Diceros bicornis minor: one gene and its partners. The protein of the gene in region 1 purifies or fractionates together with the protein of each later gene. This does not show direct contact. Links are inferred from orthologs where the notes say so. Each region holds a gene or a part of one and is shown in the gene's direction. Other genes may lie near its edges.

The links.
Region 2: the proteins of CHCHD4 (region 1) and SSNA1 purify together in Homo sapiens (co-immunoprecipitation; 3 studies listed by BioGRID and IntAct, with this or other methods). This does not show direct contact. The link is inferred for Diceros bicornis minor from reciprocal best matches to the Homo sapiens genes CHCHD4 and SSNA1.
Region 3: the proteins of CHCHD4 (region 1) and cytochrome c oxidase assembly factor 7 purify together in Homo sapiens (co-immunoprecipitation; 3 studies listed by BioGRID and IntAct, with this or other methods). This does not show direct contact. The link is inferred for Diceros bicornis minor from reciprocal best matches to the Homo sapiens genes CHCHD4 and COA7.
Region 4: the proteins of CHCHD4 (region 1) and TOR1AIP1 purify together in Homo sapiens (co-immunoprecipitation; 3 studies listed by BioGRID and IntAct, with this or other methods). This does not show direct contact. The link is inferred for Diceros bicornis minor from reciprocal best matches to the Homo sapiens genes CHCHD4 and TOR1AIP1.

What each region holds. Positions count from the first base shown.
Region 1 is NC_080741.1:88,706,177-88,714,011, forward strand, and holds the start of CHCHD4 (mitochondrial intermembrane space import and assembly protein 40), read left to right. Parts: upstream 1-4,803; 5' UTR 4,804-4,811; coding exon 4,812-5,022; intron 5,023-7,835. Other genes in the region: TMEM43 (transmembrane protein 43), read right to left, coding at 71-220, 4,224-4,235.
Region 2 is NC_080767.1:43,714,903-43,722,210, forward strand, and holds SSNA1 (microtubule nucleation factor SSNA1), read left to right. Parts: upstream 1-5,020; 5' UTR 5,021-5,054; coding exon 5,055-5,178; intron 5,179-5,622; coding exon 5,623-5,822; intron 5,823-6,251; coding exon 6,252-6,362; 3' UTR 6,363-6,808; downstream 6,809-7,308. Other genes in the region: ANAPC2 (anaphase-promoting complex subunit 2), read right to left, coding at 431-548, 1,004-1,123, 1,503-1,677, 2,650-2,782, 3,848-4,470, 4,752-4,865. UniProt on the Homo sapiens protein: Microtubule-binding protein which stabilizes dynamic microtubules by slowing growth and shrinkage at both plus and minus ends and serves as a sensor of microtubule damage, protecting microtubules from the microtubule-severing enzyme SPAST.
Region 3 is NC_080752.1:15,013,388-15,021,306, reverse strand, and holds the start of cytochrome c oxidase assembly factor 7, read left to right. Parts: upstream 1-4,863; 5' UTR 4,864-4,906; coding exon 4,907-5,012; intron 5,013-7,919. UniProt on the Homo sapiens protein: Required for assembly of mitochondrial respiratory chain complex I and complex IV.
Region 4 is NC_080743.1:87,166,003-87,173,970, reverse strand, and holds the start of TOR1AIP1 (torsin-1A-interacting protein 1), read left to right. Parts: upstream 1-4,916; 5' UTR 4,917-5,023; coding exon 5,024-5,498; intron 5,499-7,605; coding exon 7,606-7,683; intron 7,684-7,968. UniProt on the Homo sapiens protein: Required for nuclear membrane integrity. Induces TOR1A and TOR1B ATPase activity and is required for their location on the nuclear membrane. Binds to A- and B-type lamins. Possible role in membrane attachment and assembly of the nuclear lamina.

The sequences.
Region 1 (7,835 bases):
TAGATTCAGAGCCTTTGCTCCTGATGCTGTGGGACCCTCAATCTGCACAGAGGGACCCAGAACATTTTACCTCATTGGTGAAAATTAAGTAGAAGGAGAGCAGGAAGGTCATGAGCCCCACAAACATTCCACCCGAGGTCTCACTCAGCCGCTCCAGGAAGCCTGGCTGGGGGTCAGTCGTAATTTTGACATGTTCTCTCCTCTTACTCGAACTGGAATACTGAAGGAAAAAAAAAAACTCACAATGAAAATTGGCGTTAAAAATAAATTGAATTTTCCTATTTATTTATACTCAGTTTTTATTGATTTTTAATTACGTATGGTAAAAAAGCAGATATTAAGTGTACAGTTTGACGGGTTTTGACAAATGCATCCCCCATCTGACCAACAGCCAGACGGAGATACAGAACATTTCTGTCACCCCAGGAAGTTTCCTTGTGTCCCTTCCCTGCCAATCTTCCCCTCTCCCCACCCTCTGGAGGTACAACCATTTGAATTTGTATCACTGTAGATTAGTTCTGCCTCTTCCAGAACTTGGTATAAATGGAATCGTACAGCACACACTCTCTTTTGTCCAGATCCTTTAACTCAGCATGGTGCTCCTGAGGTCCATCTCTGTGGTGCTGGGTATGGCAGTGGCTTGCTCCTTTTCCTGGTTGATCAGTGGGCCACGGAAGAGCACACGTTTCTTGATTCATTCCCCAGTGGAAGGGTATCTTGGTTGTTTCAAGTTCTTAGATATTATGAATGACGCTTCCATGAACGTTCATGGACATGTCTTTATGCAGACGTGTGCTTCCATTTCCCTTAGGTATCGCATAGATACCTAGGAGGGGAACTGCTGGATCAGAGGGAAGATATATGTTTTTTAAGAAACTGCCAAATTGTTTTAAAAACAGGTGATTAGAGATACATTTTTAATTCAATTCACCAAACAGTGGCTGAACTTCCAGAGGGCTGTGATGGGCCTTGTAGGGGTAGAGAGGCTTTAGGGCCATTGAGTTACAGCACAAACAGCACTAGGCCATGCTGAGTGTCTGGTGAGAGAAGCAAATCCAGTGCTAAAGGAGTGACCCCTTCCTGCTGGGGGATCAGGGCAGGCTCCCTGTAGGAGGGATGTGAGTGAGCTCTCAGAGGCAGACCCTGGGCTGAGGGCATCCCCAGCAGGCGGAACTATATGAGCAATGGTGAGGAAGGAGGAATTGCTTCTCAGGGAACAGCTGCCTATCTGCTCTGGCTGGGTCGTGGCGGGTGTGGCGAGGAGACGAAGGCAGCTAGGCACGTCTCGGTGGGTTCATGGCAGGCCTCAAATCCAGAATCAGTGGATCAGGCTTTATCCAGCCAATAACAGAAGGATGGTTTGGAATGTGTCCGCTGCTGTCGAGAGTGTCGTCATCAAGGGCAGGACTCTGCAGCCAGAAGACTGGGTTTGAATCCAGGCTCTGCCGTGCACCAGCCAGGAGACCTCGGGCAAGCAATTCAACCCCTCGGCGCCCTCCATTTCCTCATCGGTAAAATGGGGATAATAATTCAACACGGAGGGTTGTGGGGAGAACCAGAGGACGTAATTATCAGCTGGCTCAGTGCCTAGGGCACAGTAAGCATGGCACAGCTTCTAACCGGTGGAAGGTTATCAGCTTTCTCTGTAACTGATACCAAGGCTGGTACCAAGGCTGGGGATGAGCTGACATAAGCCACAAAGATGTAAAATGGTTCCCAGATGAGCACTCAGGGTGAGCCAGGCCCTGAGTGCAGGACTGGGGGGATCAGAGGAGAGATTGCAGTCAGCCTCTGCTTGAAACAGGTGAAGGCCATGTTCTCTGAATTCTCCCCAAATGCCACGAGCCCAGGCCTGCCAGGGGCCAATGTCCACTGCATTCAGAAATGGTCTTGACTTTCCATGCCATCTGGAAACAGCGGAGCAACTTGCTGCAGGCAGGTAGGTGACCACCAGCCATCATAATGATGACAGTGGCAAACACACCAGTCTCTCACAGGCCAGTCACGTGCAAGCACAAGGAGGTGGGCGCTATCACTCCCCCACTTCGCAGATGAGAAAACGGAGGCTCAGCAGTGAAGCCATCAGCCCAGATCACTTAGCTTCTGACAGATGGAGTTAGCATTCAAATCCGGGCAGCCCAAGGCCACTCTCCTGCCACTCTGCCCTGGGCTGCATTCCTCACTTCTTGGGCTGTAATGAGAGGCGACCATGGGGGGCCAGCTGCAGGCAGGACGGGTCAAGAAAAGAAGCTGGTCCTGCTACTCCCCGCTTAGGAGTATGACACACCCAGTGACATGACACACCCAGCCCACATTCTGAATCCAGCTCCCAGCAAATACAGAGGCTCACGGACTTTCCTCTCTGCCCACTCCTCACTACCCACCCCCTCCCCTAGCTGGAGCGGCACCTTCCTATGCCTTTCTTCCTTCTCTTCAAGGCCATCTTTAAGCCCCTGATCTTGATGTTGGCTCCTTGATGTGTGTTAAATACATATATATATATCCTCAGTGACATATACCCTCCCAGTCCCAGCACTCAAGGACTGAAGCAATGAGCAATGAGTGGTGGGAACAGATGTCGACACATAGGCCCTTAAAATCATTTGCTGTGTAACCCTGGGTGAGTTGCACTACCTCTCTGATCCTGTTTACTCACTTATAAAATGGAGATGGTAACAGTACCTCCATCACAGGACAACTGTTACACTGAGTAAGAATTCTGTCGCCTCCCTGCTCCGCCCTACCATCTTCAGATCTTTCTTCCTCACCAGCCCTGGTGGCTCCTCCAAATGTGCACCCAGCTACTGGATGAATCAACCAAGGTTTGGGAGGAGAGGATAAGCAAATTCATCTACATTCCTTGGCGAAGGTCAGGTCCCAACATACTCGAGGTGGTCTCTGCCCACCAGGATTGTGAAGATAGGCTTTTTTTTGATGCCTTAAGTACCTACTATGCACAGTCTCTCTTAAACTTCACAGTAACAGATCCTTTGATGAAATATAAACAGCAAGAGATTGAGGCCACACAGCTACTGAGAGGAAGACTCTGGACTGGCCCCCAGGTTGGCCTGACTCCAGAGCCTGCAGTCTTCAGCACCTTCCCACGACACGTTCCCATGATGTGGCCTGCCTCTCCCGGGCAGACCCTGGGTCTCACAGACCACCTCTGAGGCTTTTCTTGGTGCAGCATTCAAGGCTCCAAGGCTAACACCAGGCAGAGTGTGCTACGGCTGTGGGTGACACAAACCCTGGGTGGGGGGGGACAGAGAGGATGCCTAGGGACAGAGGAGGGGCCTGAAAAGAGGGTGTAACAGGCCAGGGGAGAGTAGCCAGGACGCTCCACCAAAGCAGGAGGGAGGGATTGTCCGGGGCTGGCAGGGCTCCCGAGCTGGCTCCAGAAGCACTTTCACAGAGGATCGGAGTGGTGAGTCACCAGCTTCTCCCACACCCAGCGCCCTGGTGGGAGGTGCTGCTCGGTTTGTTGAATGAATGTTGGGCTTAAATGGAAAGATTCTGGCTGGCTGTGGGGAGAAGAGACCTGCAGCCTTTGGAAGAGAACCATCTTCTGCCAGGGTCTCTCTAACCAAATCCACGCTAGGAAGACGAGGGGCCCGAGAGCAGGGAAATGCTCCCTCTCACAGTCATCCTAACTTCTCCGCTCCCGACCTAGCCTACGCCCCTTTACAGCATCACAGCCTCGGTTTACATACCGCCGAGGGCGGGGAGCTCAGTGCCCGCCCGGACAGCGGCACCGCCGGACAGCCCGCCTGTCTGTCCGTTGCTGGAGAGCTCCACCTGGGCGGTCTCGGCTTCCCCACCCTTCCTGCGGAAGGCCCTCTCTCCGAGGTCCCGACCAGCTCTCCGAGTCCGCAAATCTGAGAACCCCGAGGGCCCAGGCGGGCAGAGGGAAGGAACGGAGGGGCTGCGGGGAGGCGCCGCGCACAAGCAGATCCCAACGCCGGGAACAAGACGTCCGCAGCCTCCCTCCCCACAAACCCGCGACCCGAGGATGAGGTGGACCGAAAGGAATCCGGACAGGCTAAGAGAAAAGAACGGACGGACTAGTTGCCGGAGGCACAGACACGGGCACGCAGAGGGTTTGGGGATGGCCGCCCCGACAAGGGTCAGACAAGCAAAATGGACCTCGGCGGCCCTCCGGGGAAGAGGAGGCCGCGGCTGATGGGGAAGTCTGGGTGTGGCCCGGCGGACCAGGAGACACTCACGTTCGCGGCCATGGTAGTACCCAGCTCGCCGCCCCCTCGCTCTGCTCAGCTAAGAAGGGGGCTTACGGCCCGAGTGCGGGGTCCAGTTGCCTCTCCTCTGCGTGAGAGCTGCGACAACCTGCGTTAAGCCCAGAACCAGAGTAGACACGCCAGTAGGTTACCGCCCCGTAGGCCCCCAGCTTTTCTGCTCATGCGCGCCGCACGGCCTCCTGGAAAATGTAGTCCAGGGTCAGGCGCTTTAGCTACAACGTTGCAACATGCACTGTCCGTCATTGATGCGCCTGCGCACTGCAAGCCTTTCTGGGAAATGTAGTTCCTACTCCCCAGAGAGTTGCTGAGCGGCGCGCGGCCTGCTGGGAAATGTAGTTCCTGGCTGAGGCGGGTCAGGCTGGGGCTGGGAGGGCGCGGAAGCAGGCGCGCGGCGGGCAGGCTCGGAGGGGGCGGGTCCGCGGGGGCCTCGGAGCCGCCCGTCGCGCCTGAGGAGAGGTCACGGCGTGAAGCCGCCGCCGCCGCTATCGCTGCGAGATCTGAGCGCTGGGCTGCAGCCATGGCCTACTGCCGGCAGGAAGGTAGGGAGGGCGGGCTGCCATGGAGACCGGCCTACGAGGGCCTGCAGGGGACACGCGGTCTAGGCAGGCCCCGGCGCCCAGCGACCCCACTGCCGGCAATGGCGACCTGGGCCGCGGCTCGGGGTACCCTCCTCCTGACCTTTGGAGCGGGCTGGGCGGCGGTCGCCACCCCCATTTTGCAGATGCGAAAACCGAGACTCTGGGAGGAACGAGGCAGGTCCAAGGTCACGGTGAGGCCGAACTCGGAGCGCAGAGGGACCCGCACGTGGAGACCTCATAAACTAGGCCGGAGGGGGTAAGGGAAGTGCTGAGCACGTTTCCTCTGGCTCGTAACTGGAAATGTATTGTTATTAATTGTTACTGTCCCTCTCACCACGCACCACGTGTTCCATTTGCGTGCGCCTTTTAACTGTCCCCAAAAGTTGCCGCACGGGTTAGGTGCTGTGCTGGAGTGGTAGAGGTGTCGCCAACGGGAACACGTATTGAGCCCCAACTACATATCAGGCACTGTTCAAGGAGCTTTATAAGGCTTATCTCATTGGTCTCACAGCGACCTTTGTAAGTCAGGCTCTGTTGTTATCCGCCTTTTACTAAAGAGTAAACTAAGACTCAGAGGTGACTTGGCTAAAGCCATGCGGCGGTTAAGGCGTGGAGCTGGGGTCAGAGCCCTGGCAGTCCAATTCCAGAGCTGCACTGTCCTATCTGGTGCCGGCTGGATTGCAGGGAGCCCTCTGCTGGGAACCCCCCACCCCCACCCCGTGACCCAACAAACCTGGGCTCCGCCTACCATCCCTCTGCTTCCCTGTTGTTACCTTTACCCGAGAGCTCAGAAGTGTCCAGGTCGGAGGTCCCAGGGCCTCCGGCACACACTGCCATTACTTGGCTCTTTATCCCTGAGCTACCACCTAACCCTCCAAGCCCCAGTTTCCAATCCTGTAAAATGAGAAGTTGGTCTTCATCCATTCAGCAGATACTCGTGAAGCACCTTCCCTGTGCCAGGTGATGGGGATGGTGGACACCTGAGAATATAAAGCTACAGAGAGAGTTGGAACTCATCTAGAAATTCTGTGGTGAATAGTCCCGCCCCTCAGTTTAATTCAGGGAATCTGAAGCCCAGAGAAGATGACCTACCCATACATCCAGTTAGGGGAACAACTCAGTCTAAAATGCTAAGCCTTTTCTCCAGTACCCTACCCTGCTTCTAGAATCCCTCCTCTTCCCTGGGTCATAAAGCCGTAGTACTCACTGATGTCCATACTGAGTACTATTTCTGTTGACTAACACTTCCTTGTGCCATGAACAGAAGTCCTCTGCCCTCACCACTTTGTTAGACAGTAGGTCTCTTGTTTTTAATTTCCTTTTTCTGAGTCTCTAATTTACTTCTTCATTTAGTAAATAATTTTGAGCCTGTTGGATATAATGAGGCTGTGCAGGTAAATAAGGCCCCTCTTGCCCTTGAAGATTTCTAGACGTCACAGGTTATCTGGGAAGGAGAGGCAGTTTCCATCTGCTACCAAAGCATGGATCCTTATCTTTTCCTGGTTGAAAGATCTCTCTCTTAGTTTGGCGATGAGAATTGAAAGCACTCACTTTCAGGCCTTCTCTAGTTTTTATCTTATCCATACTAGTGTCCCCTCAAGCTTCAACTTGTTTCTACCCACTTATTTTTTTATGCTTCCCATGGGACTTAAAAAAAATGATCCCAAACTATTTGCCATTTAAAGGCTCATGTGATCTAGCTCCCGCCCAATCTAGCTTGAGCCTCATCTCTTTCCACCTCACCACTGCTCAGCCACATTGGCCTCTTGGCTGTTCCCTTTGCCTGGTACCTCCTTCCTCCATCTCTTCCATGGCTGGCTCCTCAGCCTTCAAGATTTGGCTCAAATGTCACCTCCTCAGAGAGGTCTTCCCTGACCCTTTGTGTCTTTCACATCCTAAACTCTCTGAAATTACCTTGTTCATTTTTGTCATCTTATTTCCCGTCTGTCTTCTTGGACTAAGCTGAGAGCATTAGATGGGCCACATCCCCAGCACCTAGCACAGAGCCTGATGTACAGATGGATACTCAGATCTTTATTGAATGAACCCATATGCATGCCTGCCCTCTGTTCTGAGTGAATCACTTGCCTGCGCAAATTTACTTCAGGGGTCCATCCACCACGCAGCCTTCAGCACACAGGCCTTAGCTTGGCATTCACGGTGTTCCACAACGTGGGTTCAGCCTCTCTCCCTGGCTTTGGACCACCCATGCTTTTCTGTGTCAGCACCACACTGTTTCTTTTTTGAGTTTCTTCTAATGCTGAGCCTGCCCTCCCCTGTTCAGTCAACAAACATTGATTGAGCTCCTGTGATGCTCCAGCCACTGAGCATGTGAGCACAGATGACACAGTCTGCCTTTGTGGCATGCTGGGAGAGGTGGGCGCTCCTTCTGAGTTGGACATGCTGAGAGTCTGATGTGTAAAGATCCTGTGCATGTTTGTGGTCCCCGTTCTGGGGGAAATGAGACCACCCATCCAAGGGTTTTCTCTCACCTCCTTAATGGTGATAACCGTTCTGTCTTCCTGCCCTCTGCTGGGGCTGGGGTTTTCATGTCCTAATCCAGAGTTCGGTGTCTCCATTTACTTTTTCAACAAATATTGTTTACCCACTATGCTCTGGGCACTGTTGTAGGCTCTGGGATACTGCAGTGAATGGAATAGACAAATCCGTGCCCCTGAGGAGCTGACATTACAGTGGGGGAGACGGGTGGTAAACAGATATATAATATGTTAGGTGAGGAAAAGCACTTTGGAGAAAAAGAGGGTGAGAGATGAGGAGTGGTCAGGGAAGGTGGCATCAGGAGGTGTGAAGTTAGGGAGAGGGTGGCTCTGAGGATATCTGAGGAGAGCATCTGGAGAGAGAGCAGCCTGTGCGGAGGCCTAGAGGTAGGTGTGTGCTCAGCATGTCAAAGTAAAAGCAGGGAGGTGCTGGAATGGAGGGGGCCAATGGTGGGAGATGGGCTCATGGAGGTGAGGGATGCAGATCTTTCTGGATGTGTTTGATG
Region 2 (7,308 bases), on another chromosome or scaffold:
GACATGAGTCAGGGCAGCTCCATATGCCCCCAGCCCCAGCCCCAAGGTTTCTGGGCCGCTGTGCCACGGCCCCTGTTCAAACATGTCCTCCAACGGACAGCCCAAGTCTCTGCTCAGGGCCCTGCTCCGCCCCAACAGCCTCGGGCCTGGTCAGCATGACGCAGAGCTGAGCAGGGGCACCTCTCCCTGCTGGGAGAGGGCAGGGGGAGGGAGGGGCACAGGCAGGGCCCCCCAAGTCTGCACACAGGCATGGTGACACTGAGCGACAGGACAGGAGCTGGCGCCAGCAAGACGAAGGGCCAGGCCGCTCAGCCCAGCAGGAGGGACGGAGGGGCCCTGGGGTCCCGAGGGCCACTCCCCCAGCTGCAGGACCCACGAGAGCTCGGCTGCCCTGAGTCTGAGCGGCTCCCAGGGCCAGCAGGGCGCCCACCTCAGGTAGCGGCGGATGGGCTCACAGGCCACCTCCAGGACGACCATGGAGGGGTCCAGCACGCGCAGTGCCTTGATGGCGGAAATGTAGAGGGTAATGATGTCGCACGTGTTGACACCTACGGCCAGGAAAAGAGACGTGGTCGCGGCGGCGCCCAGGACAACACAGGGACATCGGGGCAGCCGCACACTGGTCAGGTGGTCTTCAAGTCACCACTGGACCCCACTCCCCAGGAAACTGGCGCAATCCACTGAAGCTGCCCCCTTCCCCACCCACCCCCTCGCGACTCACACTTTCTCCAGAACTTTCCAAGATCCAAGCCCTCCCCTCACCAGGCGGTCTGTTCTGAGGGGATCATGCACCGCCGCTGCCCCCAGGCCAAACTTGTCAGTTATCACAACTCCCTTTGAAGGAGGGTGAAGCAGAGAGTCCCCCAGCCCCCCGAAAACTGCACAAAACTTAACCCGCTCCCCGCCTAGGCCCTGCAGGCTGGGACACTGGACCCTGGGGCTCCTGGGTCTGGGCCCTGAGAGCGGAGCAGGGCGCCGGCAGGGTTGGCAGAGCGCGAGGAACCTGGGTGGAGGAGCCGCGTCTCCAGGGCGGCCTTGAGAGACACGAGCAGCTGCTGCCTCTGGTCAGTCCTCTCTAGGCAGTACTTGAGGTCCTCGACGGCTGGCCGGGAGTCTGGGAAGTCTGCAAGAAGAGGGCCAGGCTTTGCACGCACATCCAGGGCGCGCACACTGCACATGAGATAGCAGGTGCCGACCTAGGGCTCCAGCAGCTACACCTACATCTGATGACCAGCACCGACACTTGCAGGTGCCGCACATCGCCCCTGCGCCTTCACATGCCCACACACTTGACCACAACGCCCTACAGGGCAGACGGACGGAACAACGGGCAGGGGTGAACGCCCAGAAACACCATCAGGCACCCTGCCACACCTGATCCCGACACTGGGCTGGGAGGAGTTCCACTGGGACACACTTGGACAGCACGCTCCAGGTGCCCCTGGCCACCCGCACAGCGGAAGGGCAAAGGCACAGGGAAGGCAGGTGGGCCGGGGGCTGACCTCGGATGATGCTGAAGAGCTCCTCGATGCGCAGGCTGGCATAGACGCGGTAGAAGAACCTCTGCACGTGGCAGCGCCAGCGGCGCAGCATGTTGCCAGCCTCAGGGGACGCAGGTCTGGTGGGGCCGTCCTGCAAGAACACCTTGCCCAGCCAGCCGACCACTCTCTCGATCCACTGTCAGGAGAGCACAGGTGTGGGGCGGTGGGGGCTGAGACCCAGCGTGACTCAGAAGAGAAGCTGGGAGAAGCCCACAGCTACCTACTCTGCCGGCCAGGCCCCAGGGAGTCCCCAAGGCCACCTGCTCTGGAGGCCAGGAGCACATGGAAATCAGCAGGATGAGGAAAACAAAGGTGGCGTCCCAGGTCCTCCATCAATGCACCCCCATGCCCCTCCATGTGCCTCAGTGCCCATGCTTATCTCTGGCAACAGTGGCCCTAACGTAGGGCACATAGCAGCTTGTGCTCGCCTCCGCCTGAGTGGACAGACTTGCCCTGAGGCCACATACACGACTGGCCCCCGCCACGTGTAAACAACGTACCATATAGTGAGAACGTTTCTGAGCGCACACACATAAACTTACAGGACATACTGCCACACGAACCCGAAGACACACACGTTCCCCTCATAGACCACCCAACCACTGATGAGACCACCCCAACACTCTGCCACCTGGAGGCAGCACAGCTGCCCCTACCAGGCCTCCAGGCTGCCACCCACTTCAGACCACTCCTGCGGGGAGAGACACTTGCTTTGAATCCCCCATTGTGGTTAATCTGCACCCTCAGAAGGTGGACACTAGGAAACCGAGGAGAACAGGTAGCAAGTGGAAGCAGGCTAGACGGCCGCTGAGGCTGGAGCCAGCTGCTCCATGACTCTGGGGAGCCCAGAGCAGAGCCCCAGACCACACCCAACAGCGTGGGCACTCTGAGGCCCCTCAATGGGACATCTCAGACCTTGGCACTGCCTCTAACCAGGTGATTCTGCACAGACCTCGCCGAGCATGTCACAGGCTTTCCTTGCTGTCTCTAGGGCAGGCCCAGAAGGACTGGCCTCCACACTCTGGCTGCTTCCAAAGCCGGAGTCTCAGGTTTGCCAGAAGCCTATCCCCCATCCCCAGGGATCAGGCTCGAGGAGGGACGTCCTCACCTTGTGGAACTCACGCAGGAAGGAGCGCTCGTACTCGCCCCGGCAGCGGTCCTCCATCCGCTCCCGAGTCACTTGGTGCAGGGTGGTGGTCACGGCCTCAGCACTGACCCGCTCCAGCAGACTGAGCCTATGTCTAGAGAAGAGCCCTGCCCGTGGAACACGCAGAGCACACACACCCCCACCCCCCACACTGGGCACACACCTCTCCAGGGCCCTCCTGGTGGGGGCACAACTGTACCAAGGGTTCTTCCTCAAAGCCGCTGGGATGATGGAGCATGGACAAGCCACTGCCCGCCCTCCCCAGCTGGCATCTCTGCCCAGGCCAGGGCACTGGCCTTCCCCAGGTGAGCAGCGTGTGTGGCTATCAGGGACCAAGGCCTCATCTAGAAACGGCTGTGAAACAACACCCAAATACATCCCTACTCTGGCCACATAAATACAGATACTGCTGTCTTTAAGTGCCTTTCAGCGCATACTCTCGTCTACGATGGCAAACAGATGCAAGAAAAAATGAAAAAGAACTTTTCTGCGTCACTTTCACCTGGGATGAACCCAGCAGAAGCCCTTCAGGGCCTCCCTGACCCCTGCCAGCAACAGTACCACTCCCTGGGTCCAGCTAAAAGTCTCTCCCCAACAGCTGTACTGCTGCCACGCCACTTGAAGTGACAAAATCATCATAAATGGCCACAGAGAGCGTAGGACCCATACAACACAACCTGGTTCTAACGACAATGACAACGACAACAACCTTTCCACTTCAAAGGGCTACAAAGGCAATCGCTTGCCCAGCATGTCAGCCTAATGTCCAACTCTCTCTGGAGAAGAAAAATAACAAGCCCACTTTTTGCAATTACAGGGTAGAACGAACATCATTCCTCCCCTGGAGAGCCTACAGAAAGCACAGCAGAATTCTGCGTGGCCCAGGAAACTTGGAACCACATGAGGTCTCAGCATAAGCAAAGCGTGGAACCCTAGGTTTACCTGAGTGACAGAGAGACACACTTGCGTCCAGAACAAAAGGTATAAACTCACAGCACAGGGATTCTGGGGACCCTCCCCTTGTCATGCCCGTGGCTATCAGGACAGGTGGCAGAGCCCCCAGCCAGCTCACCAGCTCTCTGCAGAGGCCAGCTGGACCCAGGGGAACAAGTGGGACTAAGGAGGAACAGGGCAAGGCCACACAGGCGGGAGTACTCACAGGACCTGGCTGAGCTGGTGGAACTGCTCCAGTGCCTGGCGGCACCAGCACTGCTGCTTGTCGCTGCCACATCCCGCACATAGCGGGCTCTGCAGAAGCCGGTAGTACCGGCGGCGGGCATACCTGCTGTCCAATTCCCCCTCCAGTTCTGGATCTGTGCCCCCTTCCCCTTTCCTCTTACTCTGCATATAGACTCTCAAGAAGCGCCCATACAGGCGCTGGATCATTTCCTGAAAGATTCTGGGAGTGGAAAAGAACAGGACGCCCCGCAACGTGGTGTGGACCTTTTCCCGCAGCCCCTGAGCACCGGTGCCCATCAGCAAGCCCAGGCGAGTCCATTTCTCCAGGAGCTCCAGGCTATGCAGGTAGGGATCCAGGCGGCTCTCCAGCAGGCCAAAAGCGTCAAGGAGCAGCAGAAGGCACTGGGGCTCGTCAGCACAGTTCTCGCGCTGGGAGATGGCATTCCAGAATTCCAGCGAGATGTTGGCCTGCAGGTCGTTCTGCAGCACCTCTACGAACCACTCCTCCAGGACTGAGTGCAGACCGTGGCCCCTCAGCACCTCCACCGCCGCCCGGAGCTCCTCCTCCTTCGGCGGGACCGCACCGCTGGTCCGGGAGGACGCCTGGAGCGCAGACAACCGTGAGGAGAAGGGAACACAGCGAAGAGGTGGGGAAGGCGGTGACGGCTGGGGAGAGGCGGGGAAGGGCCAGATGGAGGGGAGGCTGCGGAAACCCCGCTGCCCCTAGTCCGCGGCGCGCGGATGCCGGGCCGATGCCAGGGAAGGGCTGCGGGAAGCCAAATGAGGAGGGACCGTGGAAGAAGAGGCAGGACAGGGGCCGGCGAGGACGGCGCTGCAGCAACCCGAGGGCGGGCGCCCCAACAAAGCCTCCTCCCGGGCCTCACCAGCCCCAGCGCTGCCGGCGGCACCAGCCCGGTGCTCACGGTATTCCAGGCCACCAGCAGCTCCTGTGAAGGCGCGGGGTCGCCGTGCCCCGGCGCCGCCGCCGCCGCCGCCATCTGCGTCCACCCGCTCCCACAGCCGCCCGGCGCGACGCCCGGCGGTGAGGGAGGGCTGGGCGCGCAGGGAGATGACGCACACGAGGCGCGCGGCAGTGACGTACGGTGGGCGCGCCGTCGGGAGGCAGTGCGCAGGCGCGGGCAGGATGCGGTAGCGGCGGTTGGCGCGGCCGAGCCTGGGCGGCGACCATGACCGAGGAGGGCGCGGAGCCCTTGACCGAGGAGGGCGCGGCGACCATGACCGAGGAGGGCGCGGCGACCATGACCGAGCAGGGCGCGGCGATGCAGGACTACAACAACCAGCTGATCAAGGGTGAGCGGCCGCGCGGCGGGCCCGCTGAGCCCCGGGAGGGCGCGGGGCTCGCCCCTGCCGGCCCAGGCGCGATGGCCCGCAGCGCGTGGCCAGTGCGTGGGTGTCCGGCCGGACCGCGCGGAGGCCATGCGGATCTTCCCAGCGCGCGGCCACAGTGTGGCATCGCCGAGGACCGGATATCTATGGAGCGAGCAGGAGGATGAGGGGCTTGAGCATGCGCTGGCCCCTGCCCTACCCCCCGCCCCCGTCCCCGGCTGTCTCGTGCGGTGCCTTCTTTAACCCTTAGACCCCGGAGGTGGACACTGGCCGGGCTCAGGCGGAAGGTGGCACCCCCGCCCGCCACCACTCGTCTCTGCTACAAAGCTGTGGGCTGCAGACTGGGAGGGGTGATGCTCTCCTTCCTGCCCTGGGTCCACAGCGCCTGCCCCTCCCCGCCCACCCTAGGCATGGAGGTCCTGTGCCAGAGGCGGAACAAGTTGTGCCGGCAGATCCAGAAGGAGGAGAAGGAGAAGCAGCGGCTGCATAATCAGTTGAGGCGGTTGACAGAGAAGCTGGCCCTAGTCAACGAGAATCTGGCATGCAAGATCGCCTCTTACAAAGAGCTTGACCGGACCATCACAGAGTCTGAGGCTGCCTTCTTCAAGGTAGGGCTCGCGGAGTCCCCAGGCGGTTTTTGGCCTAGGGACACCCACAAGCAGAGGTGATAGGACTCCGGTGTGGCCGGGCCCACTGTGGAGTGACAGCCCGGCCGTCGGTGGGGCCTGGTGCGTCCTGAGTTCTGTTCTTTGCACCCTAAGTGGTACCATGAGCAGCACAGGGGAAGCAGCAGAGTAGCAGCAGGGGCTAGGGCTCACCTGGTGTGGCTTTCCCAGGGTGCGAGGAAGGGGCTTTGGGCTAGACTCGGAGGGAAAAGTGCCCTACTGACCCTGTCCGCCCGTCCCCTCAGGGGCTTCCTTTTGGCAGCTCCTGTCCCGTAGCCCCCACAGCCTGGCCCTGGCACCATGTGTGAGGGGGGCTGGGCTGCAGGAGTTTTCTGACAGAAGGAACCGTCTCATGCCTGTTTCTGTTCCCAGATCCTGGAGAGCTCACAGGCTCTGCTTAGTGTTGTGAAGAGGGAAGCCGGGAACCTGAGCAAAGTCATGGCCTCAGAGCAGGAGATCATTGAAGAGAAGGACAGTTCATGAAGCCACAGGTGGAGAGGGGCCTGTCTCCACTGCAGCCATTAATGGTTTGGCCCCTAGCAAGTCTGTCTTCACAGTGTCTGTTTTTCATGACAGGAGGTAACTTCTTTCACTGTCTCAGGTGCCAAGGGAGGCAGCTGCCAGCCTCCATTGGCCCTGAGTGACAAGAAAAGCCCTGGGCGCAGCCCACCAGGTGGGAGTCCTGGCCCTGTGCTCACTCAGGCTACAGGGAGGGCGAGCTCGGGGCCAGCTCCACTTGGGGCCTCTCTGAGGTCCCCATACTCCCCTCGGCTGTAGGTAAGGCCCTGGTTAGGGGAGTTCCTTCACCTTGTCCCTTGGCCAGCAGGTGCCCAGGCCTGGTGAGTGGGGGAGGGGCTGGGCCCCTCCTTCACCTTAGAGCTTGTCCTTGTGGTCTGTGACTGTCAATAAAGGTTGTCTTTGTAAAGATCCATGCCAGCCTGCTGCCTGTGTCAGGATTACGGGGCTGCCGGATACTCCCAGAGCCAGAACACGAGCCCCTGCCCAGCTATTGCGTAGCTCCTCTGTGAGGGAGAGGTTAGAGTATAGCCTGGAGTGGCTTTCCCTGTGACCAGCCTTGCTGGCCTTGGGGACAAAGCTGAGAGTGACCCTGAGGATCTCCCATGACCCTCATCGCCCACCCTCTCCGCACCGGGGCCACTGGCCCCCTCCCCGACTCCAGCACACAGCTCATCCCCTACTGAGGGGCTCTGCCTGCTGGTCCTAGTCTCTGCCACACCCTGGTGTCCAGCACAAGGCCTGGCCCAGGGAGACGCCTTTCCTGGGCTCAGGTCCCCCACCAAGGATTGCGCCCTAGCTCCATGATTCTAAACTCTGCTCACCGCGACGGCACCACTGCTTCTTGCCTTCACTGGCCACACACCAAGCGTGCCCACTTTCAGCTTTCCATGTCGCCTGGGGCCCAGCCCTC
Region 3 (7,919 bases), on another chromosome or scaffold:
TGGGAGGGAATGTTTGCCAACCAGATACCTGATAAGGGGTTAATCTCCCGGATATGCGGAGAACTCCTACAACTCAATAGCAAAAAACTAATAACCCGATTTAAAAATGAGCTAGGGACTTGAGTGTCATACAAGTAGCCTATGGGTATATGAAAAGATGCTCAAGCCAAGGTCACTAATCATCAGGAAAATGCAAATCAGAACCACAATGAGATATCATCTCACACCTGTTGGAATGGCTATTATCAAAAAAACAAAAGACAACAAGTGTTGTCGAGGATATGGAGAAATTGGAGCCCCTGCTCACTGTTGATGAGAATGTAAAATGGTACAGCTGCTATGGAAAACAGTATGGAGGGTCCTCAAAAAATTAAAAGTAGAACTACCATATGATCCAGCAATCTCACTTCTAGGTACTTATCCAAAAGAATTGAAATCAGCATCTTGAAGAGATATTAGCATCCCCATGTTCATTGCAGCACTATTCACAGTAACCAAAATGTGAGAAGAACCTAAATATCCATTGACAGATGAATGGATAAAGAAAATGTGGTATGTACATACAACAGAATACTATTCAATCTTAAAAAAGAAGAAAATTCTGCAATTTGCTACAACGTGGATGAATCTTGAGGACATTATGCTAAGTGAAATGAGCCAGTCACAGAAAGACAAATACTGTATAATTCCACTTGTATGAGGTATCTAAAATAGTCAAATTCATAGAATCAAAGAGTGGAATGGTGGTTGCCAGGATCTGGGGGAAGAGGAATTGGGGAGTTACTAATCAAGGGCATAAAGTTTCAGTTAAGCAAGATGAATAAGCTCTAGAGATCTGCTGTACAACACTGTACATTGCACCTATAGTCAACAATAATATATTGTACACTTAAAAATTTTTTAAGAGGGTAGATCTCATGTTAAGCATTCTTACCACAATAAAATAAAATTCAAACAAACAAAAATACAAAGTGGCTACAGCATTTTGCATTCTGACCAGAAATGTACACCAGGGTTCCAGTGTTTGTTTTTTGTTTGTTTTTTTTTGGTGAGGAAGATTGGCCCTGAGCTAACATCTGTTGCCAATCCTTCTCTTCTTACTTGAGGAAGATTGGCCCTGAGCTAACATCTGTGCTAATCTTCCTCTATTTTTTCTATGTGGGATGCTGCCACAGCATGGCTTGACGAGTGGTGTGTAGATCCACACCCGGGATCCAAACCTGTGAACCCCAGGCCACTGAAGCAGAGCACACGAACTTAACCACTGTGCCGCTGGGCCAGTCCCATGGATTCCAGTTTTTTTACATCCTCATCAACACTTGGTATTTGTTTGTCTTAATTACAGAATTCTAGTAGTTGTGTGGCAATATCTCATTGTGGATTTTTATTTGCATTTCCCCATGCTCAGTGCCTTTTGTGTGCTTGTTGCCCATCCATATGTCTTCTTTGTTGAAATGTCCACTCAAATATTTTGTTTAAAAAAATTTTTTTTTTTTTTTTTGGTGAGGAAGACTAGCCCTGAGCTAACATCTGTTGCCAATCCTCTTCTTTTTGCTGAGGAAGATTGGCCCTGGGCTAACATTTGGGCCCATCTTCCTCTACTTGATATGTGGGATGCCTGCCACAGCATGGCTTGATAAGTGGTAGATAGGTCTGCACCTGGAATCCGAACCTGCAAACCTCAGGCCACTGAAGTGGAGTGCGCGAACTTAACCACTATGCCACCAGTAGTGGCAGCCAGCCCCTAAAAAATATTAAAAAATAATTTTTAAACATTGTCTGCTGATTGTTGAGTTGTAGGAGTTCTGTATGTGTTCTGGATGCAAGTCCATTGTAGGATAGATGGTTTGCAAACATTTTCTCCCATCCCCCCCCCAAAATATATAAGCACATTTAAAATGTTAATAAATATTACCAAGTTGCACTCCAAAGAGGAGGTGCTAAGCTTTATTCTCACCAAAAGTGTATGAGAATGCTGGTTTCTCAGCATCCTCACAAACATAAGATGCTAAACTTTGTTAATCTAAGAGATGAAAAATATCACACTGTTTTTAATTTGCCTTCCTTTAATCATTAGGAAGAGAATCTCATCAAATGTTTATTGACCAGTGCTTTTCCTCTTCTAAGAGTCGCATGTTCTTGTTGAAACCTTGTGTTTTTCAATTTTGCATCCCTTAAGCCCTGGTCCTTATTAAGCTTCCAGGGAATGTTTGCTGAATGAATGAAGAATGATACTGTGAAGAATAAATGAGATAATGTATCTAAAGTACTAAACTAATAATTAGTAATCAATTAATATTAGTTGAATTTAAGTCTGGAGTCAGGAGGTGAGCGCTATAATGCTCTTGAATTCTTCCCCCCAGGATTTGGAACGGTTGTTGTGAACTCTAGGATTCCAAGAGGCCTGGTTTCTCCCAGTCCTCTCACTGTGTGTTTTAGGGTAAATCGCTTAACTTCTCTGACCTTCAATTTCTCTGCAACAGTCTGAACAGTGTCTACAAGCTGCATCATGCTTATAGAAAAGGGTTACTGGGCAAAAAAACATAAGATTGATTTACAATAAGCATATATTCATGTATTACTTGAATAATTAAAACAAGATTAAAAAGTAAATGTGAACATTGTAAAAATAAAGGGTCATAAACCTAGAGACATAAAGACAGGACTAAAAAAAGAAGCTGGCTGCCCTTTTGATGGCCTTAAATTTCCTTTAAAAATATGTGACTTCATACTTGGCCCAGCCTCTCTTCCACCTTTCCCCCAACCCTCTATCGCCCTCTATTGCTCAGGTGGTCTCATTTCAACGTAGTTCAACGCAGCAAATATGATTAAGGGAAAAGTATCATTTGTGGCCAGTCCCTAACTATAGTTATCCACATTACCCTCACCAACCCCGACTCTGTTCTTGGCTCTGTGACCAGCACAAGGGACATAAAGATCACAGTCTGGTGGGGGACACAGACCTTCATGCCATTATGGGAATGACAAGAAACATTTCTGGAACAGGAATGACTCTGAGCCAGGCACTGTGCTAAGCACACTGCATGCATGAACTTTTAGTCCTACTGACAGCCATACAAGGGATCTGCATTTACAGAAGAGGAATCAGGCTCACAAATGTCACTGGATCAACGTCACAATTTAGTAAACATGGGACATGGATTCTGACTAAGATCTGTCTGCTCTCCAAAGCCAGTCCTTTCCTACCACATCATATCAGAATAAACCAACTGGTGGGGAACACTGACATGGGGGCATCTAAATCTACTTTGGGAGTGGGTGTTGTTGCACCTGGGAACACTTTATGGAGGAGAAGATCTCTGATTTGGGCAGAGAAGGGTGGTCCGGGCATCAAGAGCAGCAGTAAACAGGGACACAAACCTGGGACCTGTTCAGAGAACAGATGGTTGGGTGGGGTGTGAGGAAAAAGAGGCAGGAGACAAGGCTAGCATCAGATTGCACAGGGCCTTGAAGGCCAGGCTAAGGAAGGTGAACTTGAAATCAAAGGTCAGGGCTTCCCTACCTGGGGCGCATGTACTGGGGTCTCACAAGGTCATCAGGGGTGTGAGAAACCACAGGTAAATATGGCATATCACCTGAAATGTCGATTTTACTCAACAGCTTTGGGAAAAGGCAATCTTGTGTTATCCTATGAAAGATGTATTATAGAATTGAACGTAAAATTATATGAATTTTAAAAATAAAACTGGGATTTCAAAGACATTTCGCAGTTGCAGTAAGCTGCTCCCCAATAAGGAAGTGGTCGGAAGTAGCCCAATCTCCGATGCCATCAGGGATAGGTTAACAGTGGAGCCACTTGGGAAGCCATGGATTGAGCTCTCTGAGGGCTCTAGACTAGGGCTGGATGGGATTCAAAGATGCATAGAAACTGTCTTTGGAGGGCTTTCAGTCTAGGCTTTATGGAACTGATGATTCTGAGCAGAACAAGACAAAACCACGTGAAGTTCCTCTCTCTTCCCCATTTCCTTGACATGTTCCTCTTATACCTCATTCACTATTTTATTCAAAAAATATTTATTGCACTTCCTGTGTGACTTCGGAGAAGTTACTCAAACTCTCTGTACCTCAGTTTCCTCATCTGCAGAATGAGGATAATAATACCTACCCCACAGTGTCACAGTGAGTGTCACAGTGAGAATTAAATGAAAATTTGTATAGAGCTCTTACAGTATGGAACATAGTTCAGCACTGTTTAAGCGTTAGCTATTATAACAGTATTATCACTACAACTCCTGCAGCTACTGTGTTCCGGTCATCTTCTCCCACAGCCATTCATTCTTTAGGTCATTCGTGTTGGAGGCAGGGATTCTGGCAGGAATACTATGCAGACGAACCCGACTGCTCATTGCACTTGTACAAACTTATGAATATTGGTTTGTTCAGCTACACTTGGCACATAGTAGGTGCTCAAAGTGCTTGCTGACTGAATAAACAAATGTCTTCCTACTAAACTTCACGCTCTTTAAAGGCAGGGACCATACTTCCCAGCTGTTGTCTTACTAGAACCAAGCACTTGGTGAGGCACACAGTAGGCGCTTAGGGATTACGGAACTAACGAATGAATGGCTAGAGAAAGGGATAAATGACTGCAGGCAGAAAGTCATTAAGGCCACAAAGCTGCCACAGATAAAGCGCTGCAGAAAAACCGCCACCAGCTTTAGGAATGGGCTCAGCAGAGGAACAGATGTGACGGCAGAAGACCTTAACAACCAGGTAGAAGCCCCGGTTCGCAGCGCCGGCCTTCCGGAACACCCCGGCGGGCGAGCGCGGACCCCGGCGGCGCGCCCCGCCCAGGCCCCGCCTCGCCGGCTCACGTGACCACGGGGCGGGGGTGCGCGCGACCGGGGCTGAGCGGCTGGGTAATCGCGGCTTGGCAGCGAGGGCCATGGCTGGCTTGGTGGACTTTCAGGACGAGGAGCAGGTCAAGTCGTTTCTGGAGAACATGGAGGTGGAGTGCCACTACCAGTGCTACCGCGAGAAGGACCCGGACGGTGAGCGCCGCCGGCACGGCTTGGGGGCACGTGGGGGCACGTGGGGGAGTGGAGGGACGTGGTGGGGGGAGGGCTTGACGGGTCACGTGGGCGACCTCTGAGGGGATCTGGAAGGGCTCTGTGGGAGGCTGACGACGTTGTGTGTGTCGAGGAGGGGCGGATTGGTTTCCACGAGGGCCTGCGGGACTCGCAGAGGGGGAACGCTCCGCTGCACCGAGCCTAGAGGCCGGGGCGGGGTAGGAGGGGCAGTGCTTGGACCTTTAGGGTAGAGAGACTGGGGATACATCAGTGCACAGATGAAATCCCCTGTCCTCATGGAGCTTACATTCCAGTGGGAGGAATTGGACAATAAACATAAGGAAATAAATGAAATAGTGTGTTAGAAAGTAATATATGCAATGGGAAAAAGAACTGACTGAGGGGTCTCAGGAGTTCAGGAGGGCATTTTAAGTTAAGTGGTCTGGGGAATTATTGAGAAAGTGACATTTGAAGAAGATCAGGAAAACTTGTGCCAGCGGCAGGTAATAGCTAGTGAAAAGGCCCTGGGGCATGGATCTGCCCCGTGTGTTGTGGGAACATTGAGTTGAGTTGAGTGGATGGTGGTGTCCAGAAGGGGCCACCCAGAGCAGCCAGTGTCTTTGGGTGGTTTTCTTCTTCCTGCTTTATTTTTATAAAGGAAAAAAAAAAATGGCACTGGCCCTATCTTCTAAAAGCTTGCAGTCTGGTTTCCAGAACATGATATAGCTATTTCTTGAAAGTAATCAGCTACACCGAGTTGCTCTGCGGTATGATGACTTAAATAGAACCCAGGGTTGTTCTTTGAGGCCTGGCCCATGTCCTAAGTGTAGAGAGAATTCACAGGATTTGGCGTCACTGGGGAGCAGGATGGTTGGGGAAGACTTTTGGGGGAGGTCAGAGGAACAGGCAAGTGTTGATTAAATGGAGGAGAGGGTGGGAGAGGGAAATGCTGTCTTTTGGAGGTTGAAGTCAGAATGTCATGAGAAATAAGAGTGAAGAGGGAGCCTGGGCCACAATGTGTCAGGCTTTGAATGCCAGGGTAAGGCGTTTAAACTTTATTCTGTAGGCAATGGAGAGCCATACGTGTCTTGAGGAGTGAATTCATGGTAGTGTACTCTAGAGAATATACCAAGCAATGGAGTGGGGAAGGGTAAGCATGTAAGGATTGTCTGTGGCGCTTTAGAAGGAGAGCCTGAGAGGAGGCTGTAGTTACTATAGCTCCTGGTACAGTAGTTTCCTTCAAAGTCACCATAATCTCTCACCTGGATTACTGAAATAGCCTTCTAACCTGACTCTCTGTTTGCATCCTCACTCCTTTAAAATCTGTTCTCTGGGCCGGCCTGGTGGCGTAGTGGTTAGGTTCACACGCTCCGCTTCTGCAGCCCAGGGTTCGCAGGTTCGGATCCTGGGCGCAGACCTACACACCGCTCGTCAAGCCATGCTGTGGCGGCGTCCCATATAAAGTAGAGGAAGATGGGCATGGATGTTAGCCCAGGGGCAATCTTCCTCAGCAAAAAGAGGAGGATTGGCCACAGATGTTAGCTCAGGGCTAATCTTCCTCACACACAAAAAAATCTGTTCTCTTCTTGCAAAATGATACTTTAATTTTTATTTTGTTAGCAAAAATGTTTGTTTATTAGATTTTTAAATAACGAAAATTACACATTTGTTATTATCAGTGCTGGAGTGTGTCCCCTCATGCACTTTACTTCCTCCATATTCATCCAGGTATGTACAAACATACATACCACAGTAACCTTTTAAAAAGGCACATTGGATCATATCACTGCCCTTCTTCAAACCCTCCAGTGGTCTGCTGTTGACATGGAATAAAATCCTAACTCCTTTCTGTGTTCTCCAAAGCCCTGTGATCTGGTCCCTGCCTTCCTCTCGTTTCCTGCCCCTTTCCTCCTTGATCCAGCCTCATTATACCTTATTTGTGTCAAGCTTATTCCCTCTTTTGAGTTTTTTTGCTTACTCTTCCTTGTGCCTGGGACTTGCTGCCCCCTTCTCATTTCATTGTCTGTAAATAGCTTGTTCATTCTTGTTATTCACATCGCAGCTCAGACCTCAGTCCTCAGTGAGGCTCTCCCTGATCATCTGATCTATGTTAACCCTTCCCCCAACATGCACAGCAAACCGTCATATCATCCTGTTTTATTTCAGTCATAACATTTATTACTGTTTGAATACATCTTGTTCAGCTGTTTACTTATCGTGTTTCCTCCTCTAGAATGTAATTTTTAAGAGGGCAAGTGATTGCATTCCCAGCATCTAGAACAGTGTCTGGTACATAGATGCACATAGTTGCTCAAATATTTGTTGATTGAAAATGAACAAGAGATGAGTGTTATGGGGAATGAAAAAGAAGGGACAGAAGGAAGAGATATTAAGGAGAGGCTTGCTGGGACTAGAGACTGCCAAGGAGAGAGAGTATTTTCAACTCTGGTAGCTGCCATTTCTACTCTGTCTTTGGGCTTCATGTTCCTAGCCTGGTGAAGGAGGAAAGTACAGTCATCAAAGCACCCCTTTCTTGCTGCTGCAAAGACTAGCCCATCCCATGGGCCCTTTTGGTTTTCGGTGTTTTACTGCTGAACTTCCTGAGAAGTTCCAAAGCTAGCAGAGTTTCCATCATGGAAATCAGTGGGTCTTTGGGCCTGGCTGATAGGGAGCAGAAGGGTGCTACCAGAAGGGCTGGTGAGTGATGGAATCAGTGCAGGGCCCAAGGTCTCCCCAGTCCGAACATTGCTCAGTCCCCGGCTAAGGGCAGACAATGCCATTTGTAGAAATGGCTGAACGCTACCTGCATTCCTTGTGGTAAGGTCATCTTGCCACACCTCGGGAGGAGAGAGGCTGGTCCTAAATAAAAGACACATTCTGGCCTGCCAC
Region 4 (7,968 bases), on another chromosome or scaffold:
ATCATGTGCTTGAAAAATAAAGCTGAAAAATACGGATAGCTGCCACCGCCCTAATACTTAAAAAATAGAGACAAGGAAAGGATCTCTCATATAGATTCAAAATAAAATGTTTTAAAACCTAAAGACAGGTAAAAATGAAACAAAAACAGTATGTTGAAGCAGATTAAGATAACACTTCTGCATCTGCATATAAAGTCTAACAATTAAGCACTACTGATAAAGTAGAGAGCTAGACACTTCCGTGAAGGAAGGAAAAAGGGGTAAACTCTCATTGGGTATGAAATACAATCGGGAATACATATATAATATGTAAGAAAAATGGTAATTGTAGAATCTTACTAAAACTTCAAAACTTTGCCCTTTTTAGCACCACTAAAGCTAAAAAAAAGGGGGGGGGTACTATCTCATAAGGATTAAGATGACCAAAGACGGGATCCTGTCTGGCAGAGGTAAAGGGAAGTAATCACCACCTACAGTGGTAGTCTGATTCCCCGTTTACATTCTGAGCCTTATAGGAATTCTGCTTCCCTTCTCAAAGTCCAAACCAAACATTTATTCCCATCTTAGTGTTAAGGTTTATAAGGTTCTGTTTATCTTTCTTTACTACAAAACAAAAATATACCCCCAATCTGCTCCGCTTAGGGTTTTTGCAGTAGGGAGGTGGGGGTGGGGAGGGATCGTTTCTGAAAGATGTTTCGAAATCAGATATCAGATCAAACATTAAAACATGGAAAGGTTGTATATACATTTTGTTTACTTACAAATCCTAGCGAGGTTTTAAACCGTCCACTGTCAATGTCAGCGGAGCCCTTCGCGTGTTCTTTCTGCCCCACAACCAGAGGCTGCACCCCTCCGACGCGGCGGAACAGAACGTATTCCCTGTGCCTGTCCACGTGACGTGACGGTGACCTCCGGGCGGGGAGGGCCCGCGGAATGCCGGGACTGGTAGTCGCCCGGCCCCTCCTCCTCCTCCCCAGTCGCCCGCACGCACGTCTCTCCACTCCCCCGCAGCCAGCCCCGCCAGAGCAAGAGGCGTGGTGAGCGCGCGCAGCAGAACCACCCGTCCCGGCTCCCGTGCTGCTGTCTGACGGGAAGCAGGCATCTCCGCAGCGCATCGGACGACCCTAACCCTTACAATGATCTAGAATGCATAGGCTGGAAGAACCCATGGAACCAACACAGTGAGAGGCACTACCCAATGATGATGGCAAGCACCAGTCAGACATCACACTTGGAACCCGGCCTCTACCATTACTAGGTGCTTGGCCTCAAACGAGTTGCTTAATCTAAACCTCAGTTTGCTCCTGTCAACTGGGGACAACGCTACGTACCTCATAAGGTGGTTGTGAGGAAATGCGCTAATGTACTTAACGGTGTCTGCTAAATGATAGTAGTAAATGATGAATAAAGAGTAGCTATTATTTTGATCTAGTAATTTCGCAAATGTGAAAACGGAGAGATGGCAAGCAATCTACCCAAGAACACATAATTGGCTAGGGGCAAAGTTAAGTAAATCTAAAACTTCTGTTCCCGACCTACACCAATTCAAGACAATATAGAAGAAATCTACTCAAAATCTCACTTCTCCTTTCCTCATTTTTTTCCGTAACACTTCTGACCAACACACTATTTTACTTATTTTGATTTTTTATCTGACTCCCATAGAATATAAACTCCAAGAAGGCAGGGAGGATTTTTGGCCTTTGGTCTATTCTTTCACTGTTGAATCTCCAGCACCTACAACATGGTCTGACTGTACACAGCAGAAACTCAAATATTTATTGGATAAATGATTCTTCATGTATCAGTGCCTCCACCTCTCAATCATCCTCTTTTGGCAGAAGTCACAGGATTTGGAAACACTCTTAGATGATGTTTAATAATTGACTGCAATTTCTAATTCAACAGAGAATAAGCGGAAGAATATTTATTATATTCCATTCACTTCACTGAGTTTAAATTTTCTTAATTTCAGTATAACATTTCCAGCTACACATTTTCATTCGTATAAAGTCTTTAAAATACTTTTTCTGTCACTTGTGAGAATGGGGAATAAATGGAGCCAACTACTATGTCTTTAATTTACTTCCTCTAATATTTTAATCATCTTTTCCTTATTAAAAATAACAATGTTGCCTCTTTCTACTAAGATAAAACCCCAGTTATTTATTTCCCTATCTGACCAGAAATGTGCATATTATGCACAATAAATTGACAGTGCTTTATCTGTAAATAATTGTATTTCTGCCTACTCTAAACAAAAAACTCATGTACAAAAATTATTACTTTAAAATAAAATGTTTCATTTAAAATAGCTGCTTTATTTAGAAATCCAGTGTCAAGAGTTAGGCCTAACAGCTAGATATATAAATTAACGCATCATTTAATCTAAATTATAATTTGTAGTATATCTCTCCTACCTAATATATGGCAAATTCCCTAATGGTAAAGAATACACTCACTAATTCATATATTTATTAAACATCTTGGTAAAGAATACACTCACTAATTCATATATTTATTAACATCAATGTATTCTTTCTTACAATCATTTCCTTTCTTAACTGTCTTCTCTTTCGATTCACTGAATTCCTCCACGTATCTCAAATTCCCAAGGTAACTGTCTAACATCCAGAGCTCCTCTTAGTATTTTCCTCTTCGTATTAGTGGCTCCGCAATTCCCTTATAATATAGGCTATGAGTCTGTCTCTGCAATGTCACTTCTTTTGGGCCACCCTTGTAGTCTGGAAAACATCTACAGCAGAATATCTGGTTTGATGAGAGTTTAGCTTTACCTCACACTTGTTATTAAAGTTGGTATTTGTAAGGTTGCTAGGTGTGGGAGGCAGGTATGGCAGAGCTAGGATTATGTAGTTTTATTACCTAGACAAAAGACGGAAAATCCTAAGCAAATATACATGTTAATGTTCCAGTTACCGTGCCTCTGATTCTTCTTTAAGATTCTCATGATTCGTTTCTTTGGAAAGTCATTCCTAAGCCTTTACAAGCATTTTTAATTACAAAATAACACATGTACTCATTATTCAATAATACGTAGAACCTCTCATCTTCTCTGATTGTTCAATAATATGCAGAACCTCTTGTCCTTTCTCTCTTTTTTAGTATACCCCAAACTTAAGTTTCACAAGTCTGTATCCAAATTTCTGTTTAGTCATTTGTCCTGGTAAATGTTTTAAAGAGGCTCTTAATATACGCATTAATGTACATAATATGAACTTTGCACATTAATACTATGAGGTTTTATATCCTTTAATAATTACATCTATTACGGAACTTTTACTATTATATGTTAATAATGAGTAATAGAATAGGCACGTTATAGAGAAAGTCTTACTTAAAACATAAGTAAATAAAAGCCAGGTATTACCAAGTATCTATATTCTTCAGCATTTTGTCAGAAAAGTTAATTCTCACAAATTTTCCAAATATACTAACTCAAGCTGACAAAGAAGAATACACTTTTAATTTTCCCTTAAGATAAATGATTAAAAAGAAAAAAAGCATCTCCCTTGTTACTGTTTCTCCAGTTTCTTTGGCTATATTGTATATTGTAAACAAACCTAAACTAAACTAAATCCCTAACAAGCTAAAACCTAGGTGACTCTCTAAAGTATGTAATTCCTTGTGTCTGGGGCCAAATTTATAGACTATTAGTGAAAACACAGTACACCTTAATATTTCATTAAATTGAAATCTGTGCCTAGTTTGAGCAAGAGTCGCTCAAAAACATTAGAAGGGGTTTAAAAGACTTGATAGAATAAACAAATACCTTCAAACTTTACAAAATCATTCATTGTAATTGGTATAAGTTACAAGTTTTTAAATCTATTCACTAAAATCAATTACAGAAAAGTCCTGCAAGACAAGCGTGTATATTTGAAGGTAACATTAATCTTTTTTTCAGTAACTATTCAGACTTTAACTTAACTTTCCCTCGGTGTGTCTAAATTTGGTTAGATATTTGCAGATTATTCACATCTGTAACTATGGTATACGGAGGTGAAACAAACAGTTATCATGCTTTCTTAGTAAACTAAACGCAGGAAACCCTAAATCAAACGCAGTATTTCAAGTCATGCCCAGAATCAAAGTAAAAATAATGGATCACAAGTTAAAAGACAGCGCGGCTTTAAGCAAAGTATTTGCTCATTTCTCACTGCCCGTAACACAGCGCTAACAAGGTTTCCGAAGAGCGCTGCTGGCACAGAGCCTTTATACGAAAGCCAAGAATAAGAGCCTATTTGCTCTGCGTACATTTTGCAAATGGAAATCCACCCGAGTATGCCTGTAGGTACGATTTTGTACACTCGCAACAGGTCACTTAAATTTAAAACTGGATACCTGCCTTCATAAGGAGCTTGAAAATAAAAATTTCTCCAAGAAAAGATATAAGACCTGCAAAAGTATCTTTCTTATCCTCACTCTGCTAGGGACACTTGAAGAGGCATGGCTAAGGAAGCAGTCCATCAAAAAGGTTCCAGGAGAACTGCGCAACAGCCAGGGGGCGAGGACGCAAACTTCTCCTCCGCCCCCGTCTTGCTCGGCCTTTCCCAGACACTCGGCACTGGGCGCCAGGACGGGCGTCTCCTGCTTTCGGGCAACAGTTGCCACGAGCAGCTGGGCTTAGGAGAGGAAATCTGCCCCGTCAGTTGTCCCTTCTCCGTCGTCTCCTCCCTCCCTCCTCCAAGGCCAAGGACAGCGACGTCCTCCTCCCTCTTCTCCTCCTCTTTGGTGCCCTCAGCCAGGAGGCGGGAGTGACCCACAGCAGCTGACCCAGCACAGGCACTGCCTCTCCCACAGCCCTCAGGACACACCATGGGCCCAGAGGCAGGTTTGCAGCACAGCAGCGACGACGCAGGCGGCGGCCCCGGCGACTCTCAACTACCTCCCTGACGGCCGCGACCACCGCCCAACAGCCCCGAAAAGCCAGTGCCATCGACGGCTGGAGAATCTAGGGGCCCCCAAACCATCTTCGCGGTCGACTCAAGCTACGTCAACAACTATGGCGGGCGAGGGGCGGCGGGCGGAGCCGGTGAGGGAAGAATGGGCATGGTACGTCACGCCCAGGGCCCCGCTGCGGGAAAGAAGATGCCGGCTCGCCCCTCAAAATGGCGGCGGCAGTAATGCGCCTGCGTACGGAACTCCGCCGTCGCGCCACGGCCGGCGGGAAGTGAGGTTCTCAGAAGAGCCGCCAGAAGTGTACGGTGACTTCGAGCCCCGGGTGGCCAAAGAAAAGTCCCCGGTGGGAAGACGAATCCCGCTACGAGAGTTCCGGCCCGACTCTGGGAAAGAGGAAGTGAGAGAAAGCGCCTACTACCTTCGGTCTCGGCGGCGGACGCAGCTGCGACGTCTGGAAGCCGAGGAGATGCAGACGCGAAGGGTTACTCGCCTACAGCAGCAGCACTCACTGCAGCCTCCGCTGCAGCCGTCTCCGGTTACGACCAGGAGAGGGATACGGGACTCTCATTCCTCTGAAGGTGAGGCCGGCGGAGGTAACGGTCTCAGCCGAAAGCCAGCGAGCGAGCGGGCACGCGTGGGATGTTGGCGTGCAGCGGGCGGGCGGGCTCCTCCCCGGCACTCATCCCCGCCGGGGCTCCGGGGCTCCCCCGCCCCCTGGACGTGCGCCTTTACGTGGGGTCCGCCCAAGCGCAGGCGGGAAAGAGGCTCGGGCGGGAGGACTGGACAGGCAGTCTTGCGGGGCGGCCTGGGCAGAGCCGCGGAGCTCTGCCCGTCCCGAGGCATCAATTTAGGGGTGTCGGGATTGCCTCGTTCTGCGGGCCTTCACGGGGGACGGCTAGTTAGGCGGGACGCCGAATCACTCCAGGCTCGGTTTCATTGCGGTTTCCTCTCTCTCTTGCGGATGTGTCTACCAAAGCCACTTCCATTTCCTCCTTTAACTCTGAGGCCAGAAGTCCCCAGTTGAGAAGCGTGGTTCTAATGTAACCTTTCCTTCCTTTTCCGTCACTACCCAGGTGGGGGGAGAGGGAGGGGAAATTTTGTGAGTGGGCGTTTGGAGGGATAGCGTGATTGGTGAATTGACTTGAGACCCCACCCAAATACTTACCTGAAACGGGGTAAGTCGTTTATCCTGAACTTGAAGCTCCTCATTGTCTGATAAACTTGAGCTGATCGCTCTCTCTTCAGTGTGGTGGTCTCTGCCAGAAATTCGCCACGTTGGGGGCCCTCAGTGTAACTTCAGTGGTTAAGGAGCTTGACAAAGCACGACTCTAATTAGTTTTCGTCTGAATGGGCCAAAAGGATGCTGACAAGGTATATAGTTTTAGGTAAGTCACAGGTGAATCAACTTCCTTAATCCATCCTCTCCCACCCTGCCTTCCCCCCCCAACACACATAGGTGAAGTTGCATGTTAGCCCCATGTAAGGCACTTATGAGGTAAAAATCAGGGGATTTGAATCACAATGGGATTACATAGTTAGTGGTAGACCGTTGATGGATATGAAGAGGAGGTAGATTTTCAGTTCAGAGTAATGGACTGCACGTTTACCTGCTGACACATTTGAAGATGTGTTGATTTTGGAAACTTTGTGTTAAAGATATGTAAGTTACTATTGGATGTAACAACTCAAGACAGGTTAGCCCATATATATGAGTTTTCTCTCTCTTTTAAGATAAACTTCCTGAAGACAGATCCTGTTATATATATTTGAAGGGCCTTGTTATACTTTAGTAGTTGCCTTAATTCTGTATCTCCTTCAATATCTGGAAGAATGCTTTCCACATAGTAGGCAATAAATATGTGTTACATTGTATTGACTCTCCCACAGAGCCTAGTGCAGTTATACTAGCTAATTTTTTTTTAACACACAAAGGTTTTACCTCAATTTTAGTACGTCTATAAGAATCTAAACGTTTTTCACTCTTCTGCTTTTTCCACATCATTAGTGAAACTCTACCCCATCTTTTAGGCCAGCCCTGGTGGGGTCTAGTGGTTAAGATTTGGTGGCTCTCACCACTGAGGCCCAGGTTCGTTTCTTGGTCTGGGAACCACACCACCAGTCTGTCAGTTGGCACACTGTGGCAGCTGCATGCTGCTGCGATGCTGAAAGCTATGCCACCGATATTTCAAATACCAGCAGGGTCGCCCACGGTGAACAGGTTTCAGCAGAGCTTCCAGACTAAGACTAGGAAGAAGGACCTGAGCACCCACTTTCAAAAAAAATTGGCCATGAAAACCCTATGAATAACAACAGAGCATTGTCTGATACAGCACCGAAGGTGAGAGGATGGCCAAAAAGACTGGGCAGGGTTTTGCTTTGCTGTACACAGGGTCACTAGGAGTCAGAATCGACTCCACAGCACTAACAACAAGAAGCCCATCTTTTAAATTTTCTAAAGTAAATATACTTTTGTTGTAAAACATCAGTGGTGAATAGTTTATTTTTATATTGTCTTAAGAGTGTGTATTTCTGACTAGTTAAATTCTTAAGTTTTGCTAAACCTAATTACACATTTCTAAAGAAATGAATTACTTGTATTTCTGCTTATATATTGCTATTAATATGCATAATCTCTACCTAGATCATATATTCTGAATTTTGACAATTTTCATGTCTATTCTTTAGAGGATGAACCATCTTCAAATACTGTTGTAAGCCAAACAGTCTCAAAGAAAACTATCTGGAGAACACAAGAAACTCCAGGTGAGAAGAGTGATTTTGTTTTTTTCTTTACCTGACAGCTTTTTTTTATGTACAGATTATCGCCAGTTCATCAAGGGTCCCAAATCATACTTCATTCAGAGTTTCAGTGAATCTGCTTCATAGGTTGTTTATGGAATTAAGCAGTACAGGCATGGGTCAAGAAAAGACTGGGCAGATAGTTGAGTATCTACTAATTACCAGCCACTTTGTATGTGTTAGTTCATTCATTCACATAACTATGCATGATAGATATACCCATTTTATAGATGAGAAAACTGGAGCTCA